Anolis sagrei: one gene and its partner. The protein of the gene in region 2 interacts with the protein of the main gene of each other region in a biochemical or structural test. Links are inferred from orthologs where the notes say so. Each region holds a gene or a part of one and is shown on either strand. Other genes may lie near its edges.

Region 1 (12,028 bases), on a different chromosome or scaffold from region 2:
TCCGCTGAATGTTTAGTAAAATGGCCTAGGTATTCAGACTATAAGCAAACAATCTTCATTTCAATGTCACTGTAAAACAGAATGAGTAAAAAAGGCATAAAGTGCATCCCAAAACACCTGCTCCCAAATCTTATCTGAATTTCCCCTTCTGCCAAAGCTACACCCATATTATTGGTGGATGAATTTCCAGAGATTTTATATGTCAAAATGTATATGTGTATTTGATGACATGGATACTTTCATCAGGAGTTTCTTCTTCCCTCTCACCATTATCATTGTCACAATTTTGAATCACCAGTAATGTTATCCAAATACCTACATAGTCAAAGGTCTCCCACTCTTGGGATACCAACTTCTTTTTTATTGGTTTCTTATTTCTTGTTCCTGAGTCCCAACCTATATGATATCTTCATTTCCCCTTGCATCTTTTTTTTTAATCATTGCCTAATGAAGAATCCTTGCTTTTGAAAGACAACACCAATATTTTTGTGTACTTTTGGTTGCACATTTTCTCTTATTTTCAAATATCATAGTGCCCCATTGACTTCACATGCAAGCAGGTATAATTACCACTGAAAACACTTAGTTATTATTTTTGTCATCACTGGTCATTAATCATGATAATAAAGATTGACCAACTGACTTGCTGTTTTATTTTTAACAATTATATTTTTATGAAATATTGGAGACATTTAAGTATATAGTTAAAAACCCAAGTAGCAAAATAAACAAAAAAACAAAAAACCCTAACATGCTTACAAATTTTAGCTACAAAACTGAAATTACAGTTTTCAATAACTTTATTCGTAATTACTTTTAGTACACTATAATGGCACAATATGGAAATGTCACAAAAATTTAACACTAAGTCATCTAATAATGAAAATGTAAAGGGGAAAAAGAATGTTTATTGGCCATTTTAGACTGAGAGTTCAAGCTAAAGTTTTTTCGAAATTCATTTTTTGTTATTATATTGACAAAGATAATTTAAAGGGAAAAACTATACATCAGGGCAGATGACAGAAAAATATCACTCAGCAATTATGCCTTATTTGTAAAAGTCAGGGTTAAGTCATTTTTTCCTTTCCTGTTCGAATGCTGACTATTGAAAAACAGCACAAACTATGCAAAACTTGAACTACTTCTGAAGAAACAAATGAGATTACTCAATTTGGACAAAACTGCTCAGAAGATCACATGGGTATGATTATTTAGATACATGACCCATTGTGGGTGGTGTCTGATGCATCTAAACTGAATTGCTATGTACTCTACCCATACTGACTATTGAAAAACAGCACAAACTATGCAAAACTTGAACTTCAACATCATGGGACTTCAACATCTTCATTTCACCTCTACTCTGTACTTCTTTTAAAGTACTTTTTTTTTTTGCCTGATAACAATCTTTGGTTTTGAAAGCTGGCATGCATATTTGTGTGTTTTTGGTTAGCCTAATAAAAGTTGTACCATCATATGGCCTTTGGAATTTGTTTTACAGTCAACACAGCTATTCCTGCGTTTGTACAAGCACAAGGCATTTCCTCTGGGATTTTGCTTCAGCTGGTCTCATAATGAAAATGTAGGAATAAAATCTTTATAACAGTGTTTCTCATACTCTGATCCTCCAAGAAGTTTTGGACTTCAGCTCTCACAATTCCTAACTGGTAAGCTGGCTGGGATTTCTAGGAGCTGAAGTCCAAAACAACTGGAGGAACAGAGTTTGAGAAACACTGCTCTCTAGCCATGTTTAGTTCTGTGAGAAGAGTAAGTCACAACAGGCCCTCAGCTTATGAAGCACACACACAAAAACAAAAACACATACACAGTTGATAGGTAATATAAATAGGAAATAAAAGCTTTTGGACTTAAGGTTTGTTGTGCAAGTCAAACCCAACAAGCCACAGCTAGTGAAGACATGTTTACTATAAAACATGATCTATAGACCAGGCCCAATTCCACTAAACATAGTTAAGAATAACTTTGCAACATTGAACAACCACAAATAGCAGTAGAGGTTTCTGATCTTGTCCCCAATGTTACAGAAAACAAGATGGGAAGAAGACTATGAATTAAAAGTTCACAGATATTCATTGCATTGTGTTAAACTATGGTTTAACATAATGTTCAAACATTAATAATGATCAGAAAGATTCTGCTCTACTTCTACCATGTGTTCAAGCTAAACCAAAAGATATCTAAGATTTAACAACTTTTTAACCTATAAAAAGGAAAGACTTTCTGCCAATTTTAAGATTATAGATTATCACAGCAAATAGAAAATATTGTTTTTTTGAGCTATATGACCATGTTCTAGAAGCATTCTCTCCTGACGTTTCACCTGCATCTATGGCAGGCATCCTCAGAGGATGCGAGGTCAGACCTTCTAGAGCAGGGGTTCTCAAACTAAGGCCCGGGGGCCGAATACGGCCCTCCAAGGTCATTTACTCGGCCCTCACTCAGGGTCAATCTATGTCTGAAATGACTTGAAAGCACACAACTACAACAATCCTATATCATCAGCCAAAAGCAGGCCCACGCTTCCCATTGAAATACTAATAAGTTCATATTTGTTAAAATTGTTCTTCATGTTAATTATTGTATTGTTTTAAAGTGTTTTTTGCACTACAAATAAGATATGTGCAGTGTGCATAGGAATTCATTCATGTTTTTTTTTTAAAATTATAATCTGGCCCTCCAACAGTTTGAAGGACTGTGACCTGGCCCTCTGTTTAAAAAGTTTGAGGACCCCTGTTCTAGAGTATGGCCATATAGCTCGAAAAACCTACAATAACTCAGTGATTCCAGCCATGAAAGCCTTTGACAATACAGAAAATATTATTAATAGTCCTATCTATCCGATTTGTTGTCAATCCACTCCTTTGGGCTTCACACAAATCTACCATTTGCCAAAATATATGATCCTGTCATTAATAAACTATTATTAATAGTATCACACTATAATTACAGATTGAGTGACCAATTAAATTCAACGCCTTATGTAAGAACAAAAAATAATAAAAACATAACTATATTTATGTTCTAAAATAAATTCCAAAACAGGTATACAGAAGATCAGAAGTTACTGATTACTCAATGATTCTCCTTTTATAGGTCAGGTAAATGACACAGCTTTTTCCATAGAGTGATTTGGAAATACTCATTGTAAACATGGACTGGCAACCAAAACTAACATATGAGAAAGATCAAAGAAAGAGGGGAAAAAAAGGTGAATTTTAAAATCCTTTGTGGTAACTAAACAAGTAAGCCATACATTATGAACCCACAATGATTTTGGAACAACATTTCCTTAACATTCATTAACTCCTTCCTTGAGACCTCTAAGCATTCTTCCTTTCCTCTTGAAAGTATTTTTGAAGCACATGTAAAAACCAATGTAGGCCTAAACTCCAAAAGGAAAAAAAAAACACCAGCAAGTAAGACCAAACAGACACTACAGGACTTATTACCAAATAAGCATATATTGGACAGCAGTATTATGTTCCCTCAAATATGTGCTATTTGCATTATACAGGCAGTCCGCAAGTTACAAACATCTGACTTACAAACAACTCTTCATTAAGAACAGGGGTGAGACAACATGAAGTGAGAGAAATCTGCCCCTCTGAAGGGAAATTCACTCCTGAGAGGCGTCTCCACTGAAGCTTTCTCAGCAATCCTTGTTTCCACAACAAGCCAATTGATCCAAAATCCAATTATGACAGGAAGAGAAAGTGAGGTGAAATCTTCTGAACGGGGACACAGACAGCAAGACAAACACAACAGGGGTGCTAACCCTTCCCTACACTACCCAAATCAAATTTATATATTATATGGGCCCCCTACTGGTGCAGCGGGTTAAACCGCTGAGCTGCTGAACTTGCTGACCGAAAGGTTAGCAGTTTGAATCTGGGGAGCAGGGTGAGTGCCAACTGTTAGGCCTTGCTTCTGCCAACCTAGCAGTTCCAAAACATGCAAATGTGAGTAGATCAATAGATACCACTTCTGCGGGAAGGTAACGGCGCTTTATTCAGTCATGCTGGCCATGTGACCTTGGAGGTGTCTACAGACAACGCTGGCTCTTCGGCTTAGAAATGGAGATGAGCTCCACCCCCCAGAGTCGAACATGACTATACTTAATGTCAGGGAAGCCTTTACCTTTACACACACACACACACACAGACATATACACACATATATATATCTACTACTAATACTATATAAAATAACAACACTTTATAAATAAAATATTATTTCATATATTACTATTTATATATATAGTATTATTATTATTAAAGCTGGAGTTATACTTCAAAAATGTACCTGTTTTGAACAAATACAACTCAAGAACAAACCTACAGACCCTATCTTGTTTGTAACTTGGGGACTATCTGTACAGGACTGTAATCTTTCAGAGTTTGAATATATACCAGATATCGCCACTGTGACATCCAACAACAGGTACAAAAAAAAAAGATTGTATAATTGTGTGCACACACCTGTCAACTTATGGTGACCTCATGAATTTCACAGGGTTTTCTTCAGCAAGGAATATTAAGAGATGGTTTTTTAGGAGCCCCCCCCCCCCTTCTCTCCAATGGCACAATGAGTTGAACCCTTGTGCCAGCAGGATTGCTGACCACAAGGTAGACTGTTCCAATCCAGGGAGCGGGTGAGCTCCTGTCTGTCAGCTCCAGCTTCCCATGCAGGGATATGAGAGAAGCCTCCCACAGGGTGGTAAAACATCTGGGCATCCCCTGGGCAACATCCTTGCAGACAGCCAATCCTCTCATGCCAGAAGCGACTTGCAGTTTCTCAAAAAAAAAGAATTAAGAGGTGGGTTTGCCAGTTCCTACCAGGGCTGACTTCAGCCCCCCGAGGTGTTCTGGACTTCAACTCCCACAATTCCTATCAACCTCATGCCCCTTCCTCCACCCCCCCTCCCCGAACTTAAGGGGCCTGAGGCTGTAAGGAAGTGGTTCTCAACCTGTGGGTCCCCAGGAGTTTTGGCCTACAACTCCCAGAAATCTCAGCCAGTTTACCAGCTGTTAGGATTTCTGGGAGTTGAAGGCCAAAACATCTGGGGAGCCACAGGTTGAGAACCACTGCTGTAAGGAATTGTGGGAGCTGAAGTCCAAAACACCTGGAGGCCTACTCCACAGGAAGGAGCCATGGAGCAGTTGAAGTGGTATCAAACCACATTCACAGGGAGGCCTTTGGACACAGAATCCCAGAGGCCTTGTAACACTACAACTCCCATGAGCCCACAGCAGGGAGCCACGTCAAACCCATCCCTGCCCAATTCTCCCCAAGGCAGTCTAATAATGGGCTTTCCTTTGGCCGTTAATGGCCAAACTTCCAACAATAACAATAACAACACAATTTCTCAGTCTCTGGGTGAGCCCAGCGAGGAAAGTTGACAGGGAAGGAAGGCCTCTGGAGCCAGGGATCAAAGGGGATCCCCTCAAAGAAAAACAACAACAACAAGAGCCTCCACACGCCCTTCATGTGAGGAGGCAACCCGCCCAAAGCGCGCCCAGAGGGAAGCAGGACGGGAATGGCGAGCGAGCAGGCAGAGAGGCCTGAGGGGAGAAAGGAAGGCTCACCTTGGTGGCCATGGCGAGTGGCCCCCGGCGGAGGGGATGCAGCTCCGGGCTCCCTCCTCCTGGGCCTCGGCGGAGAGGAAGGCGAGTAGGAGGAGGGGGAGGAGGAAAGGGAGGCTCCCTCCCTCTGCAGACGCCCCCTTGCCTCCTCCTTCCCTCTCTCCCTCCTCCTCCTCAACCCAACTGAGGGGAAAAGAAAGGCGCCTCTTCCTCCCTCTCTCTCTCTCTCTCTTCCTCCTTCTCCTTCCTCCCTTTTCTCCTCCTCCTCCTCCTCTTCCCAGGCCCAGGGGCGGGGTTTGAGCGGAGGGAGGGAAAGGGGCGGGAAAAGGAGGGCTGGCCCAAGCCACGCCCCTCCCCACGTGACGCCCTCAGAAGGCACACTCTTGCTTTCGGAAGGAGAGCCTCTTCCCGCTGGGGTGGGGGGCCGGGGTGGTTGTTTCTCAGGCCTCTCTTCTTCGGCTGGATCTACGCTGCCAGGGTCTGAAGCCAGGCCATCTTAATAATAATAATAATAATAAATGATAACAATAAATTAATTATAATTATATTGAATTAATTATATAATTAATTATTATATATTATATAATTAATAATTCGAACCAGTGCCATCAAAGCCAGAATTGAAAAGTCAACAACAGATCCCAAATGTAGACTGCAAGGAAGCAGATGAAAGAATAGATTACATCCTCAGCTATTGCGCAGACAGACTACAAGCAGAGGCATAACACCGTTGCTCAGATGGTTCATTGGAACTTGTGCCTGCAACAAAGAACTGGTGGGATCACAAGCCGGAAAAAGTTACAGAAAATGAATATGCCAAACTCCTCTTAGACTTCCAAACTCAGACAGAGTTCTGGAGCACAACACTCCTGACCTCACATCATGTTAAAAAACAAAGTATGGATCACTGATATTGCAATCCCAGGCAACAGCAGGATTGAAGAGAAACAACTGGAAAAGCTGACATGATATGAGGATTTAAAGATCGAACTGCAAAGACTCTGGCACAAGCCAGTCAAGGTGGTCCCAGTGGTGATCGGCACACTGGATGCAGTGCCTAAAGACCTTGGCCTGCACTTAAATACAATCAGCACTGACAAAAGTACCATCTGCCAGCTGCAGAAGGCCACCTTACTGGGATTTGCATGCATTATTCGCTGATACATCACACAGTCCTAGACACTTAGGAAGTGTCCGGCCTCTGATCCACTACAACAGCCAGCAGAGTGTCTGCTGTGGACTCATCTTGTTGTGTTAATAATAATAATAATAATAATAATAATAATAATAATAATTCAAACTAACAGAGTGTCGGAGCACAATACTCCTGACCTCACGATCATGTTGAAAAACAAAACATGGATTATTGATATTGCAATCCCAGGCAACAGCAGGATTGAAGAGAAACAATTAGAAAAACTGACACGATATGAGGATTTAAATTTGAACTGCAAAGACTCTGGCACAAGCCAGTAAAGGTGGTCCCAGTGGTGATAAGCACACTGGGTGTAGTGTCTAAAGACCTTGCCCTGCACTTAAACACAATCAGCACTGACAAAATTACCATCTGCCAGCTGCAGAAGTCCAACTTACTGGGATGGGCACGCATTATTTGCTGATACATCACACAGTCCTAGACACTTGGGAAATGTCCCACGTGTGATCCAATTCAACAGCTAGGAGCAGGCCCGTAGCCAGGATTTTGATTCAAGGAGAGCTGAGTTTGATTCCCGGGGAGGGGGGGTGAGGATCTACCCTAGCAAACCCTAGCAAACCTTTTGTATCATTACCACAATACCCCCATGCATATGGGATATATTGAGCATGGTGATCAGATCATGATATGAACAAACATAACAATTTAAATACTGTACCGGTAAGGCCTTCTCATGGACCACCCTGAGAATTTGGGGGGGGGGGGTGAAGCCCCTCAAGCCCCCCCCCCCCCCCCCGATGCCTGGCTAGCAGAGTGATCTTGTCTGCTGTGGGCTCGTTGTGTTTCTAATAATAATAATAGTAATAGTAATAATTCAGACTGACAGCGTTTTGGAGCACAATACTCCTGACCTCACAATTGTGTTGAAAAACAAAGCATGGATCATCGATATTGCAATCCCAGGCAACAGCAGGATTGAAGAGAAACAACTGGAAAAGCTGACACGATATGCAGACTGTGCAAGGAAACCAAAATGCAGACTGTGCAAGGAAACTATGAAACCATGGATCATATCTTCAGCTGTTGCAAGAAAATCGCACAGACAGACTACAAACAAAGGCACAATTCTGTGGCCCAAATGATTCACTGGAAGTTATGTCACAAGTACCACCTGCTAGTAGTAAACAATTGGTGGGATCATAAACCTGAAAAGGTAGTGGAAAATGAACACGCAAAAATACTGTGGGATTTTCGAATCCAGACTGACAAAGTTTTGGAGCACAATACACCAGACATGATGATTGTGGAAAAGAAAAAAGTTTGGATTATTGATGTCGCCATACCAGATGACAGCCGCATTGAGGAAAAACAACAGGATAAACTCAGCTGCTATGAAGACTTCAAAATTGAACTACAAAGGCTCTGGCATAAACCAGTGCAGGTGGTCCCAGTGGTCATTGGCACACTGGGTGCCGTGCCAAAAAATCTCAGCCGGCATTTGGAAACAATAAACATTGACAAAATCACAATCTGTCAACTGCAAAAGGCCACCTAACTTGGATCTGCATGCATCATTCGAAAATACATCACATACATTGAACACAGAAAGTTGATCACAGTGGGCAGGGCTGGTTGCAGAGATTAAAAGTTTAAAAACAATGGGTGAGAGAGCAATGTAATGTATCTGGAGAAGGGATCCGTGGGACGAAGTGGGGTTTAATTGCACTAACAGGTAAAATAAATCATATATTTTTATTATATATAAATGGTTTTCATGAGATGTCTTGTGTCCCTATACATTTCATTATATTTTGTTTTTAAAATACAGTATTTATTTTGTATTTCACATAACTCAGAGGTTTCACGTTATGTTTGTGTGACACACCTAAAATTGTTTTGTGTGAGAGTGTGTTTATAATGCTGTGCTATTGTTGGATTGTGTGATTTTAATGTTTATATTGATATGTTTTAATTCTATGTTTTAATCTTAAATGATGTGTTTATGATTTAATTGATAATTGTATGTTATTATTGTTATGTTAGGTTTCTGTATGTGAGGCATTGATTTTTGCCATAATTATGTTGGAAACTGCTTTGAATCCCCTTTTAAGGGAGGAAAGTGGTATACAAGTGAAGTAAATAAATAAATAATTAAAATTGCTTTTATGTGATCACTTTCTGTGTATATCATTTATTGTATCCATTTCTTTGGTTGTAAGCTGACCAGAGACCCTCTAGGGAGATGAGGCGGGGTATAAATACAGTTGTTGTTGTTGTTGTTGTTATTGTTGTTATAACACAGATCTTTCCAAACTGTGTCTTGACACATGAGTGTGTTAGCTGCAGTGTGTAGGAATGTCATGGAAACATAATGGGAAATCTTGGAAATGCATGTTATTGTCTTACAAATAATATATTTTAAAGTATAAAAATGAAAGATTTTCATAAGAGATGTTGCGTCCCCATACATTCCATTATTACAATTTATGTATGCAACTGTATCTCTTATAAGGAGTTAGTTTAACCTCTGGTTTGCCAGTTAAACCAAATTATTGTGCCCCAAAAATGATACGTGTCTACAAAGTATGCCACCCACATGAAATGTTTGGAAAGCTCTGATGTAAGGTATGCAGATAACAGCATGCTACTGGGAGAAAACAGGAAAGACTTGAAGGTAGTCACTGAAGGTTTACAGAAAACAAGACATAATGACTACAGCAGATTTACAGAATTCTAGACGATGAAGTTATCGAAAGAGTTTTAAGATTTTCCATATCCTGGCATAGTCACTCTTCAGTCAAGAAAGCAGCTTTTATTGGCCCCTAATACCAATGCAATGCAACCACCTTATCCCTGGAGGATATGTTCTAAGATCCTCGTGGATACTGAAACCATGGATACTACAGAACACTATATTTGGACTCTTCTTCAGCTGGAAGCTTCCTATTAAATAGCACTGGTTGATCTAGAGAGGCCCACAAACACATCTGGAGAGGGATATTTTGGATAAGTGAGCCCATTGCTAACCTTATAAGGGCAAAAGGCCACTATAAACAATACTATAATACAATAATATAAGCCATATGACTTATATTATTGTATTATATTTTTGTTTATAGTGGCCTCCTGTCCTTGTACTTAAGGAAATCTTTTCTCTGTATTGCTAACCTTATAGCCATCCCTTTCCTTTTGTACAGGGAGCTCCATAGTCCAGGAAAGTTGAGTCAGAGCTGATGAGAGCATTTCTCAGTGGTAAAATATATATATAGCAACAATAGCAAGCATTTCTAAGTATGGGTTGCAGAATGGCTGGAATTCAGTGTCATCTCAGACAAATCCTCAGGAAACTCTGCCCACAGCCTGAATGTTTCTACTTATGCTGTAATAGTCAAGCCAGGATTAGTCAGTGTGTGGCTTCCTATCATAAGTTTGCATTTTCAGGAACCTCTATACAAAAGTGGTCTGCTAGTAAAATTAAGTCTTTCCCTATTCTAGATCTGTTACACAGCTTATCAGATTTCAGGTTTATGATTCCTCTTCATTTTGTATTAAACCCTGAGATCCACAAACCAGAACCTGGTTTAAAAATACTGGCTCAGGTTGGTACACACACTAAAACCAAAAAAGCCATATATCTGATCATATGAATTTGTGATCAATACCATAGCAAAACTTACGAACAATTTTACATAGATAGGTAATTAGGTAGGTAGGTAGATAGATATGTAACTAGGTTCCATTGTATCTTTCTCTCTTCTATAAAACATTCTGAATTAACTGTTGTTTGTATCTTATTCCTTAAGTGGCTTTTTGAAATCAAGTTTGTAGTCTTGCTGCTGAAACAGAAAGAGGGATGGTTGGTCACTGCAAATCTGAGTAGCAAATCTAACATAGCGTGAAAAACACTGGCAACATAATTAAATCCTCATTTTCCATGTTACCACGTGATAGAAAAGCATCCAGAACGAAACAAAAACATTAGAAAGTGCTTGGCTCAGGAAACCCAAGTACATTTCCCTGTCAATTCTTGTCAACCTTTCTGAAGGCCTTGTCATTTCAATGTTTTACTAAGACTGAATTGATTCCTTACGTATATGATGATATATGGGTAATAGTAGTGGAGATGGATGCTTTCTTTCCCATAGTCGTTGGTCTCAGTGTTTTCTACATCATTCATATCAGTGCTTCAAGAAAATGTGTCTTTGTCCTATAGTGTATGCAATACATCTTGGGGCATTTACCCAAAATCAAATCAGCTCTGACTCAAATACTTTTGGGGCTCCCCCCATCCATCAGATGAATGATCCACGGGATCTATGCAGTTCACATAATGTTCTTCTAAGTCAGCATTTCTCAACCTGGGGGTCGGGACTCCTGGGGGGTATCAGAAAACACAGTATTTTCTGTTGGTCATGGGGGTTCTGTGTGGGAAGTTTGGCCCAATTCTATCATTGGTGAGGTTCAGAATGCTCTTTGATTGTAGATTAACTATAAATCCCAACAACTACAACTCCCAAACGTCAAGTTCTATTTTCCCCAAACTCCACCAGTGTTCACACTTGGTCATATTGAGGATCCATGCCAAGTTTGGTCCTGATCCATCATTGTCTGAGTCCACAGTACTCTCTGGATGTAGGTGAACTACAACTCCAAAACTCAAGGTTATTGCCCACCAAATCCTTCCAGTATTTTACTGCTGGTCATGGGCGGTCTGTGTCCCAAGTTTGGTTCAATTCCATTGTTGGTGGAGTTCAGAATGCTCTTTGATTGTAGGTTAGCTATAAATCCCAGCAACTGCAACTCCCAAACATCCCCACCAGTATTCAAATTTGAGCATATCAGGTATTTGTGCCAAATTTCAACCAGTGAATGAACATGCATACTGTATATCAGATATTTACATTACGATTCATAACAATAGCAAAATTACAGATATGAAGTAGAAACGAAAATAATTTTATGGTTGGGGGTCACCACGCCATGAGGAACTGTATTAAGGGGTTGTGGCATTAGGAAGGTTGAGAAACACTGTTCTAAGTAAATGTGCTACTCTTGAAGAATTGGCTATACATTCCGTCTAGATTACTGCTCTCTACGTGGGGCTGCCTCTGAAGACTGCCCGGAAGCTGCAGCTAGTCCAACGCTCGGCAGCCAGATTTCTAACGGGGGCTGGGTACAGGGAGCATACAATCCCTCTGTTACGCCAGCTCCACTGGCTGCCGATTAGCTTCCGAGCACAATTCAAAGTGCTGGTTTTGACCTACAAAGC
Region 2 (12,403 bases):
GCGCGGCTGGTGGGGACGAGAGACAGGGCCTTCTCGGTGGTGGCCCCTCGACTCTGGAACTCCCTCCCACTGGAGATCAGAACTGCCCCTTCGATCTTAACGTTCAGGAAACAGGTGAAAACCTGGCTTTGGGGATTGGCATTCAACGAATGAGCCATGATCCTGTGATATGGATGGATTACGACGAATAATGACTTTGATGATGACTGACCACTGTAATCATATGATTGTATTTTTGCCATTTTAATTGTTAATGTTTTAATGTTTTAGTGTGATTTAGAAATATGATGTTTTAATGACGGTCTGTAATACTGATGTTGGAAACTGGCCCGAGTCCCTCGAATGGAGGTGAGAAGACACTACCAAATAAATAAATAAATAAATTCAAGGTTTGGACAGCCTCCTTGGTGACAGGTGAGAAGGATCATAGAATCATAGAATCAAAGAGTTGGAAGAGACCTCATGGGCCATCCAGTCCAACCCCCTGCCAAGAAGCAGGAATATTGCATTCAAATCACCCCTGACAGATGGCCATCCAGCCTCTGTTTAAAAGCTTCCAAAGAAGGAGCCCCCACCACACTCCGGGGCAGAGAGTTCCACTGCTGAACGGCTCTCACAGTCAGGAAGTTCTTCCTCATGTTCAGATGGAGTCTCCTCTCTTGTAGTTTGAAGCCATTGTTCCGCATCCTAGTCTCCAGGAAAGCAGAAAACAAGCTTGCTCCCTCCTCCCTGTGGCTTCCTCTCACATATTTATACATGGCTATCATATCCCCAGGGAGCCCCCGGTGGCGCAGTGCGTTAAAGCACTGAGCTGCTGAGCTTGTTGATCGAAAGGTCGCAGGATCGATTCCGGGGAGCGGCGTGAGCTGCCGCTGTCAGCCCTAGCTTCTGCCAACCTAGCAGTTCGAAAACATGCAAATGTGAGTAGATCAATAGGTACCGCTCTGGTGGGAAGGTAACAGCGCTCCATGCAGTCATGCCGGCCACATGACCTTGGAGGTGTCTACGGACAACGCTGGCTCTTCGGCTTAGAAATGGAGATGAGCACCACACCCCAGAGTCAGACATGACTGGACTTAATGTCAGGGGACTACCTTTACCTATCATATCCCCTCTCAGCCTTCTCTTCTTCAGGCTAAACATGCCCAGCTCCTTAAGCTGCTCCTCATAGGGCTTGTTCTCCAGACCCTTTATCATTTAAGTTGCTCTCCTCTGGACACATTCCAGCTTGTCAATATCTCTCTTGAATTGTGGTGCCCAGAATTGGACACAATATTCCAGATGTGGTCTAACCAAAGCAGAATAGAGGGGTAGCATTACTTCCCTGGACCTAGACACTATGCTCCTATTGATGCAGGCCAAAATCCCATTGGCTTTGTTGGCTCATGTTTAACTTCTTGTCCATGAGGACTCCAAGATCTTTTTCACAAGTACTGCTCTCGAGCCAGGCATTGTCCCCCATTCTGTATCTTGCATAGAGATAACACCTCATTCCGAAACTCCAAATGATCTCCCCCAGCGGCTTCATGTAGATGTTAAACAACATCGGGGACAGAATTGAACCCTGTGGGACTCCACACAACAACGGTTGTGGGGCCGAACAGGTGTCATCCATATCCAAATAGCGCTTTGGATATGGAATTTGACTGGAATGGTGATACGGTGGTTAATATTGTTTTTATTGTTTAAATTAATGTTCTAAGTTTGCAGATGACACCAAATAGGGAGGGATAGCCAATACTCCAGAGGACAGGAGCAGGATTCAAAACGATCTTGACAGATTAGAGAGATGGGCTGAAACTAACAAAATGAAGTTCAACAGTGACAAATGCAAGATACTCCACTTTGGCAGGAAAAACTAAATGCAAAGATACAAAATGGGGGACGCCTGGCTCAAGAGCAGTATGTGTGAAAAAGATCTTGGAGTCCTCGTGGACAACAAGTTAAACATGAGCCAACAATGTGATGTGGCGGCAAAAAAAGCCAATGGGATTTTGGCCTGCATCAATAGGAGCATAGTGTCTAGATCCAGGGAAGTCATGCTACCCCTCTATTCTGCTTTGGTTAGACCACACCTGGAATATTGTGTCCAATTCTGGGCACCACAATTGAAGAGAGATATTGACAAGCTGGAATGTGTCCAGAGGAGAGCGACTAAAATGATCAAGGGTCTGGAGAACAAACCCTATGAGGAGCGGCTTAAGGAGCTGGGCATGTTTAGCCTGAAGAAGAGAAGGCTGAGAGGAGATATGATAGCCATGTATAAATATGTGAGGGGAAGCCACAGGGAGGAGGGAGCAAGCTTGTTTTCTGCTTCCTTGGAGACTAGAACAATGGCTTTCAACTACAAGAAAGGAGATTCCATCTGAATACGAGGAAGAACTTCCTGACTGTGAGAGCCATTCAGCAGTGGAACTCTCTGCCCCGGAGTGTGGTGGAGGCTCCTTCTTAGGAAGCTTTTAAACAGAGGCTGGATGGCCATCTGTCAGGGGTGCTTTGAATGCAATATTCCTGCTTCTTGGCAGGGGGTTGGACTGGATGGCCCATGAGGTCTCTTCCAACTCTTTGATTCTATGATTCTATTGTTTAAATTAATGTTCTATTTATTGTTTTAAATGTGGTTATATTGCTTTGTTATATTTAATAATATAACGTACCTTGGGAAGGCTGACTTGGCCACGGTAGTACACACTTTGGTTACATCCCGCTTAGATTACTGCAACGCTCTCTACGTGGGGTTGCCTCTGAAGACTGCCCGGAAGCTGCAGCAAGTACAACGCACGGCAGCCAGATTACTAACGGGTGCTGGGTACAGGGAGCACACCACTCCACTGTTACACCAGCTCCACTGGCTGCCGATTAGCTTCCGAGCACAATTCAAAGTGCTGGTGTTAACCTATAAAGCCCTAAACAACTCCGGCCCTGTTTACCTCTCCGAACGTATTCTCCCCTACGAACCATCAAGACCACTAAGATCGTCTGGAGGGGCCCTGCTCTCGGTCCCACTGCCTGCACAAGCACGGCTGGTGGGGACGAGGAACAGGGTCTTCTCGATGGTGGCCCCTCGACTTTGGAACTCCCTGCCATTAGAGATCAGAACTGCCCCCTCCCTCATGACGTTCAGGAAACTAACAAAGATCTGGTTATGGAACGCGGCATTTGACAACTGATTTAATTCTTTGCTCACATGAAAGGAGGATGATGAATGGTATTGTGATGGTGTCGGACGATTTGGCTCTTTTAACTGTGATGATAATGTTTTAATCGGTGATCTCAAGACTGGACTACTGTAACGCCCTCTACATTGGCCTCCCTCTGTCGGTGATTCGGAAGCTCAAGTTGGTACAAAATGCAGCTGCTCGGCTTCTTGCGGGAATTCCGATGAGATGCCACATAACACCAATCTTACTACAGCTGCATTGGTTACCAATTGAGCACCGGATCACTTTCAAAGTGATGGTACTCACCTTTAAGGCCTTGCATGGTCTGGGGCCAATGTATCTGAGGGATCGTCTCACCCCCTACCAACCCCAGAGATCCCTCCGTTCTGAGGACCAAGATCTATTGGAAGTCCCCAGTGTCAAGACCTTGCGTCTAACAGCAACCAGACGCAGAGCCTTTACAGCAGTGGCACCATCACTCTGGAATACTCTGCCACCTGAAGCCCGTGCCTTGCGGGACTTATCAGCTTTCCGCAGGGCATGTAAGACATACCTGTTCCGACAGGCTTTTAATGTTTGATACTGTTGTTTTTAAATTGTTTTAAATTGGTTTTAAACTTTGTTAGATTTTAGCTATTCTTGTAAGCTGCTCCGAGCCCCAGGGGAGTGGCGGCATATAAGTTTAAATAATAAATAAATAAATAAATAATGTGTATGGTGCTGATATTTTAATCGTGTTATGAAGTGCCATTGTGTTGTTATTGTATATTCTTTGTATGTTAACACATGTTGTGAACCGGTCCAAATCCCTCTTTGAAGGTGAAAGGGTCGGTATATAAAACCTCGAAATAAAAAAAATAAAATAAATAATGACATCAAATTGTGCCAAATGTAAGCCGTCCCGAGTCCCCCTTCGGGGGTTGAGAAAGACAGCGTAGAAATGCTGGAAATAAAATAAATAAACAAAATAACCTCAGAAACAGGCCTAAAAGCAAGATATCAAGAAAAGAATGTTGTTGTTGTGCTGTGAATATGCAATGACAAGTGTCATTATTGTGTGTGGGGGAGTTTAAGCAGAGTGGCGTCGAATGAGGAGGAGGCCCAAACTGCACCTGCTGCTGAGGGAGGCACAAAGGTTGCTGTAATCCTCGCCCGCCCATTCCACACACTCACAGACCCACAGGGCGCGAGGACGAGCCAGAGGCCGGGAGAGCATCCCCACAAAGCTTGCTTCTCCCGCGCGCGCCCCTCCCTGCCCGCCTGCCTCGCGCGCCCCTTACGCAGCTGACGCAACTGGCGCACTGAGACGCCCTCACTACGGCGGAGGGGGCTATTCACAGACGGTGCGTGTGCCCAGCTCCGCAGCAGGCGCGCGTGCGCGGCATTCTCGGCAGGCATTTCCGTAAACTGCGCCGCATTCTGCTCAGAGCCCTTTCCCACTCACCGGCCTACGAAGTTCTCCAGGACGGAGCTCTTGCCCGCGCTCTGTCCGCCGACGACGGCGATCTGCGGCAGGTCGAGGTGGCAGCTCTGCCCGATGGAGCTGAAGGCATCCTGCAGCTTGTTAACAAGCGGGATCAGCTCCTCCATCCCTCGGTTGCCCATGGCGACGGCCTAAAAGAAAGCGGGGAGGGCGCTCCTCCGCTTCCTCGCTCAGCCCCCGGCAACAAGCACCAAACTTCCCCCTCGGAGTCTCCTCATCCGGCCTCAGCGACGCCCCGCTCGCGCCTCCTACCGCCCCGACTCCCTTCCCATTGGTCAGCGCAGCCATCACTCCGTAGCGGTAACCAATAGGGAACGAGGATCTGGCGGACTCCCGCGCTGATACGGCGCTGTTGCATCGGCCCGCCTCATTTCCGGTTGGCGTTCTAATTGGACGAACTCGCCTGTCATTCGGCGCTCCCTCTGCGGCTCACCCAGCCAATAGCCGCCTCCGGAAAGTGGTCAAACTGCATTAAACCCCGCCCCTTTCTCTCGGGCGCTGCTCCCCATTCGTAACCCTTGCTCTCCTCTTCAAACAACGAGTTATCTATCAAAGCGGCGAGCCCCGCCCGCTGCGCCTTTTTCGCTTTCTATTGGCCAATGTTTCTGTCACTCAGAGCGAGCAGCCAATCGCTTCAGTAAAGTTAACTTTTTGGAAAGGCGAATGTAATGCTGAACTCAAAAACCACTGGACGAAAGACACCAAATTTGGACACAATACACCTAACAGTCCAATGTATGTTCTTCACTCAAAAAATGATGTTGTCATTTAGGAGTTGTAGTTGCTGGGATTTATAGTTCACCTACAATCAAAGAGCATTCTGTACCGCGCCAACGATGGAACTGAACCAAACTTGGCACACAGTTCTCCCACGACAAACAGAAAATACTGGAAGGGTTTGGTGGGCAGTGTCCTTTGGTTTTGGAGTTGTAGTTCACCTACATCCAGAGATCACTGTGGACTCAAACAATGATGGATCTGGACCAAACTCTACACGAGTACTCAATATGCCCAAATGTGAACACTGGTGGAGTTTGGGGAAAATAGAATCTTGACATTGTAGTTCCTGGGATTTGTAGTTCACTTACAATCAAAGAGCATTCTGAACCCCGCCAACGATGGAACTGAACCAAACTTGGCACACAGTTCTCCCACGACAAACAGAAAATACTGGAAGGGTTTGGTGGGCAGTGTCCTTTGGTTTTGGAGTTGTGGTTCATCTACATCCAGAGATCACTGTGGACTCAAACAATGATGGATCTGGACCAAACTGGGCACGAAAACTCAATATGCCCAAATGTGAACACTGGTGGAGTTTGGGGAAAATAGAATCTTGACATTTGGGAGATGTAGTTCCTGGGATTTGTAGTTCACATACAATCGCAGAGCATTCTGAACCCCACCAATGATAGAATTGGGCCAAAACTCCCACACAGAACAGCCATGTGGGCCACAGCAACGCGTGGCAAGGGGCGGCTAGTATATTATAAATATTATATGTATATACAATATATTATATTATGTTATTAGCTTAGCACAGGAGACAGGAGAAGAGAGAACTTGTAATTCAAACAGGATATATCATATTTACTCAAATCTAATGCTCACCTTTTTGGGCTATATTACCTTCCCAAAATTAAGGTGCACATTAGCTTTGTGTTATACAGTAATTTTAGTGCTGAGCCAAAGCAAAATGGGAAGCTACTTCCGAAGCACCTGGAACTCCTATTTGAGGGACATGATCTCTAATTTAATTGCCTGAGTTAAATGCTATGCAATGCTGGGATTTGTAGTTGGTGAGTCACCAGCATCTTTTGGCAGAGAAGGCTCAAGACTTTGTAAAACTGTGCTGTTCCAGCAGACACCAGCCAACCCCTCTCCAAAGCCAGTGATACAGCTTAATGGTGTAACATTCGAAAATGTTGATCATTTCCGCTACCTTGGCAGCCACCTCTCCACCAAAGCCAACATCGACACCGAAATACAACACCACCTGAGCTCTGCGAGCGCAGCATTTTCCCCAATGAAGCAGAGAGTGTTTGAAGACCGGGACATCTGTCTACAGATGTCACATGCAACTCCTGGAACGATTCCATCAGTGCTGCCTCCGGAAAATCCTGCAAATGTATTTATTTATTTATTTACGGCTTTTATATGCCGCCCTTCTCACCCTGAAGGGGACTCAGAGTGGCTTACAATATATATTTTCATACAATATATTATATTATTAGCATAGTACAATATCAGTATATATTACTATATTGCACTATACCATTATATTGTAATATTATTAGTAATATTACATGTAATGTAAATATATAATTATAATTATAATATTGAATTATTATTACTAGTATTATATTGTATTACATTATAATATTATAAATATTATATGTATATACAATATACTATTATTATATTATTAGTAAAGACAAGATGGAAGTGTCTTCTGCTCCCTTCTGTCTTCGCTGTGGCCAGAGCAGCCGTTGGGAAGACAGGCGGACAAACGTCAGCGTGCTGGAAGAAGCAAAGACCACCAGCATTGAAGCGATGGTCCTCCGCCACCAACTCTGCTGGACCGGCCACATTGTCCGGATGCCCGACCACCATCTCCCAAAGCAGTTGCTCTACTCCGAATTCAAGAATGGAAAACGGAATGTTGGTGGGCAGGAAAAGAGATTTAAATATGGGCTAAAAGCCAACCTTAAAAACTCCGGCGTAAACACTGAGAACTGGGAAGCCCTGGCCCTTGACCGCTCCAGCTGGAGGTCAGCTGTGACCAGCAGTGCTGCAGAATTTGAAGAGGCATGAATGGAGGGCGAAAGGGAAAAGCGTGCCAAGAGGAAGGAGCATCAAGCCAACCCTGACCGAGACCGCCTTCCACCTGGAAACCAGTGCCCTCACTGCGGGAGAAGATGCAGAACAAGAATAGGGCTCTACAGCCACATACGGACCCACAAGAATATTGGAAGACAATCCTCCTCAGGAAACGAGGGATCGCCTAAGTAAGTAAGTACAGCCCCCATGACTCCAAAACATTGAACCAAGGATTCATTCTACAGCACAGATGCACCCCAAGGTTTTCTTTTCCATTGCTGAAAGCTTTGGTGTCTTAACACTTTTGTTCTTAAAGGAGGAATTCAAAGCAGGCAGCCACTATTTTTTTGACCAAATTACAAAGAGTGCACCTTTTGTTACTGGATATTACAGACACCAGCAAATACTTTTTTTAGTTTTAAGGTTTTGAACATTGAGGTGCAGGTAAAATTCGATGGCACATTAGACTCGAGTAAATACGTGTAACCACAGTGACATGATCAGTCATTTTCAGGAGCAGGCACAGCAGGTGCACTAGTTTTATTATACAAATGTACTCCAGATCACCTTTGAAACCTATATATCCAGGCTCAAGGTTGGGTTCAGGAGTACGGGCGAGCTGCAAACACAAGTTTCCAGGGAGAGTGTAACCACACCCAGAATAAGTTGAATATTTATTCTCTGGTGTGCTTTTGTCATGTCTGCATTTCAGCATGAATATATTGACCCTTTTCGGTCCACTGCATACACCACTGGTTTAGCACCAAAGCTGCTTTCCTTCAGTGAAATACTGATAGCTCTGGAGAGGTCATGCTAAACCAACATATCTCTTTGTGTTTCCTTCCAGCTGTTTATTTATTTACTCAATTTCCATCTCACCTTTCAAACCAGAAGATTACATTTTTAAAACCAAGAAAATATAATCTGCCACTATGAAAACAGAACTCCTAGCTGCCCAAGCACAGAAGTGGGGGGAGCCTCATGAAATAGCTGGGCTTCACATATGTGTTTGAGCAGTGGCAGTTAATGCACCTGTATGTCTACTTTCATCAGCTGAACCTCTAAACGTCATGGTGGTATTGCATATTCATTTCATATTCAGGAGGCTAAGATTGAGGTCAAACTCCCTGCCTTCAAGCTGATCTGACCTGCAGCAGGGAGTTCCTCAGTTCTCCATTGCCCCGCTTGGGCCAACCTGCATGAACATGGCCACAGCAGCAGCTGCAATTCAGAAACCTTCTTGTTAGTTTCGCTTTCTTCCCCTTCCTAACATTGTAACTAATCCCCCCAATAAAAAGTATCAATTAATTGTACAGTATATTCTGGCGTATAAGACTACTTTTTAACCCAAGAAAATCTTCTCAAAAGTCAGGGGTCGTCTTATACGTGGGTGTAGTCTTATGCATGGCAGTCGTCTTAACTCTACATTTTAACTGGAAAAGTTGGAGGTCGTCTTATACGCCGAGTCGTCTTATATGCCGGAATATACGGTAACTTTGAGAGCTGGACCTTAGGGAAGGCTGAGCGAAGGAAGATAGATGCTTTTGAGCTGTGGTGTTGGAGGAAAGTGCTGAGAGTGCCTTGGACTGCAAGAAGATCCAACCAGTCCATCCTCCAGGAAATAAAGCCCGACTGCTCATTGGAGGGAAGGATACTAGAGACAAAGTTGAAGTACTTTGGCCACATCATGAGGAGACAGCAAAGCCTGGAGAAGACAATTATGCTGGGGAAAGTGGAAGGTAAAAGGAAGACGGGCCGACCAAGGGCAAGATGGATGGATGGCATCCTTGAAGTGACTGGACTGACCTTGAAGGAGCTGGGGGTGGTGACGGCCGACAGGGAGCTCTGGCGTGGGCTGGTCCATGAGGTCATGAAGAGTCGGAGATGACTAAACGACTGAACAACAACAAAGTGTTACTTTGTGTCCTTTCATTGCCTCTAACTTCGCTCTATATCAGGGGTCCACAAACATTTTAAACAGAGGACCAGATCACAGTCCCTCAAACTGTTGGAGGGCCGGATTATAATTTGAAATAAATGAATGAGTTCCTATGCATGCTGAGCATATCTTATTTGTAGTGCAAAAACACTTAAAAATACAATAATTAAAATGAAGAACAATTTTAACAAATATAAACCTATTAGTATTTCAATGGGAAGTGTGGGCCTGCTTTTGGCTGATGAGATAGCATTGTTGTTGTTGTTGTTGTTGTGTGCTTTCAAGTCATTTCAGACTTAGGTTGACCCTGAGCGAGGGCCAGGTAAATGACCTTGGAGGGCCGCATCCAGCCCCTGGGCCTTAATTTGAGGACCCCTGCTCTACATAAACCTTTCTTCTCCCGGGCTGCAGATGGCTGCCGGCCCGCCCGGGATGCGATTTTTGCATCCCGAGGAGGCTGAAACTGCGTTCCCTTAAACCGCGGATATGGAAACCCATTGGGTCCCCATATCCGTGAGTCAATGGATCGCTTCAAAAATTGTGTCATTCTTCTTGGGAGAATTCGAAGACTAATGGCTATCTCGGTATCGCTCCGCTAACCCCTCCGCCATGGGAATAACCCTTTTTGTCCCCCAAACCTTGACCTGGAGCCCAGCTGGCTTTATGAAGACACTGCCTCACTGCCACCATTTTGTAGATGCCCAGAAAGCCTGCTGATCTTGGGAAACTGTCGCGGTCACCCCATAGGATCCCCAAGGTGTCAGCGGGCCACCCTGGTCCTTGGCAAGGAGGGATCTGTAGTTCTCTCTGTGGATCTTGATCTCCAACACTGGCAGCTGGTTCATAAGAACTCTATGGACTCTGGGGACACCTTTGCAATTTGCCTGCCCTGAATTTTACAACTTTTATCAACTTTCTCCAACTTTTAAGGACTTTTGAAAACTTTCTGGAACTTTTCCCCCAAAACCCCAAGGATTCCCCATCATAATTTGGGGGCTATATGATTTCATAATATTGGACTCTCTATGGACTTTGGTGGGTGGATGGGTTTGTATGAATTTCCTTTTCCCCCATTTTTCCCTTGTGCATGCCTTATGAATCCCACGTCTGTGTTTATGTGTAAAAATTATGGAAAGCCACCTTTCGCGACCCCAGCAAGACAAAAAAACCTCAGGAAATTCTATGGGCTCCCCTCTCCTGGGCAGGAGCCTCTAAATTCTAGCTCAATATCAAGATGTTTAAAAAAAAAAGTTTAATCCTCCTGATCACCTACAGTACGATGGCATGGCAGAGAGTAATGTTTCTGGATACTGACAAAACAGATAATAGAATCATTGAGTTGGAAGAGACCTGTGGGCCATCCAGTCCAACCACCTGCCAAGAAGCAGGAAAATCGCATTCAAAGTTCTGATCACTTTCTCCAAACATTCTCAAACCCTAGGATACTCGGGGGATTCCAACAAATTCTAGAGCAGAGTTTTCCAAACTGTATGTCATAACATGTTAGTGTGTTGGCTGCAGTGACTTGAACATAATGAGAAACCTCTGAGGATATGTGAAATAAGCAATGCCACCTTGCATGTAGTACAGACAGCAAAGGTGCCTATTAGTATTAGTAACATCTCTATAAAAGTCAAAGTCTGGCTGTACTACAAAGGTTGTTGCTTGATGTGTGATGTTGCTTCTGACCTTTCTTGAATACTTGGGGAAGGATGGCACCAGCCAGGGGCGGCTGGCCTCCTGCAGCGATGCTGGTGCTTTTCGTTATCCACAGAGTTACCCTCGCCTTTCCACAGATCATATCAAAATCCAGAATTTTGACCCCAAATCTTGCCCTATACGTATACATGAGGTTGACTTATATACAAGTATAAATGGTTTTTTCCATGCCTTGCATATATTAATTGCATTGTCCTGGAATATAATAATCCTCTCCTAGTCTGTATGAACATATATTACACAAAACCCTGAACGGTTTGGGACCCACATACCTGCGCGACCGTATATCTGTAAACGAACCCACACGATCCCTTCGATCATCCGGAGAGGCCCTGCTCTCAATCCCACCAGCCTCGCAGGCACGATTGGTGGGGACGAGAGAGAGGGCCTTTTCGGTGGTGGCCCCTCGACTCTGGAACTCTCTCCCTAAATTTATTTATTTATTTCACAGTTTTGTATACCGAACTTCTCAACCTCATTGAGGGACTCAGCCCGGTTTACAGCCATAAAAACATATACATTCATTAAAATATCATATATCACAAATTACAAAACAACTTTAAAATACACTAAATATAAAATTACAGTGGCCAGTCGTCCCATTAAGATGGATCTATATCCACTTCCATCCAGAGTCCTATGGTGTTGTCTCATTCCTCGAAGGCCTGACTCCACAGCCACGTCTTCACCCGTTTCCTAAATGTTAGGATGGATGAGGCGGTTCTGGCCTCCAGAGGGAGAGAGTTCCAGAGTCGTGGGGCCACCACCGAGAAGGCCCTGTCCCTCGTCCCCACCAGGCGTGCTTGTGAGGCTGGTGGGACCGAGAGCAGGGCCTCTCCAGATGATCTTAGTAATCTTGATGGTTCGTAGGGGAGAATACGTTCGGAGAGGTAAACAGGGCCGGAGTCGTTTAGGGCTTTATAGGTCAACACCAGCACTTTGAATTGTGCTCGGAAGCTAATTGGCAGCCAGTGGAGCTGTCGTAACAGCGGAGTGGTGTGCTCCCTGTACCCAGCACCCGTTAGTAATCTGGCTGCCGCGCGTTGGACCTGCTGCAGCTTCCGGGCAGTCTTCAAAGGCAACCCCACGTAGAGAGCGTTGCAGTAATCTAAGCGGGATGTAACCAAAGCGTGTACTACCGTGGCCAAGTCAGCCCTCCCAAGGTACGGACGCAGTTGGCGCACAAGTTTTAATTGTGCGAAAGCTCCCCTGACCACTGCTGAGACCTGGGGTTCCAGGCTCAGCGATGAATCCAGGAGAACTCCCAGACTGCGTACCTGAGCT

What was found.
Region 1: the proteins of DNM2 (region 2) and SNX9 form a complex in vitro, tested with the Homo sapiens proteins (2 studies listed by BioGRID and IntAct, with this or other methods). The link is inferred for Anolis sagrei from reciprocal best matches to the Homo sapiens genes DNM2 and SNX9.

What each region holds. Positions count from the first base shown.
Region 1 is NC_090021.1:69,210,314-69,222,341, forward strand, and holds the start of SNX9 (sorting nexin-9), read right to left. Parts: upstream 5,889-12,028; 5' UTR 5,619-5,888; coding exon 5,607-5,618; intron 1-5,606. UniProt on the Homo sapiens protein: Involved in endocytosis and intracellular vesicle trafficking, both during interphase and at the end of mitosis. Required for efficient progress through mitosis and cytokinesis. Required for normal formation of the cleavage furrow at the end of mitosis.
Region 2 is NC_090022.1:169,258,582-169,270,984, forward strand, and holds the start of DNM2 (dynamin-2), read right to left. Parts: upstream 4,885-12,403; 5' UTR 4,767-4,884; coding exon 4,606-4,766; intron 1-4,605. UniProt on the Homo sapiens protein: Catalyzes the hydrolysis of GTP and utilizes this energy to mediate vesicle scission at plasma membrane during endocytosis and filament remodeling at many actin structures during organization of the actin cytoskeleton.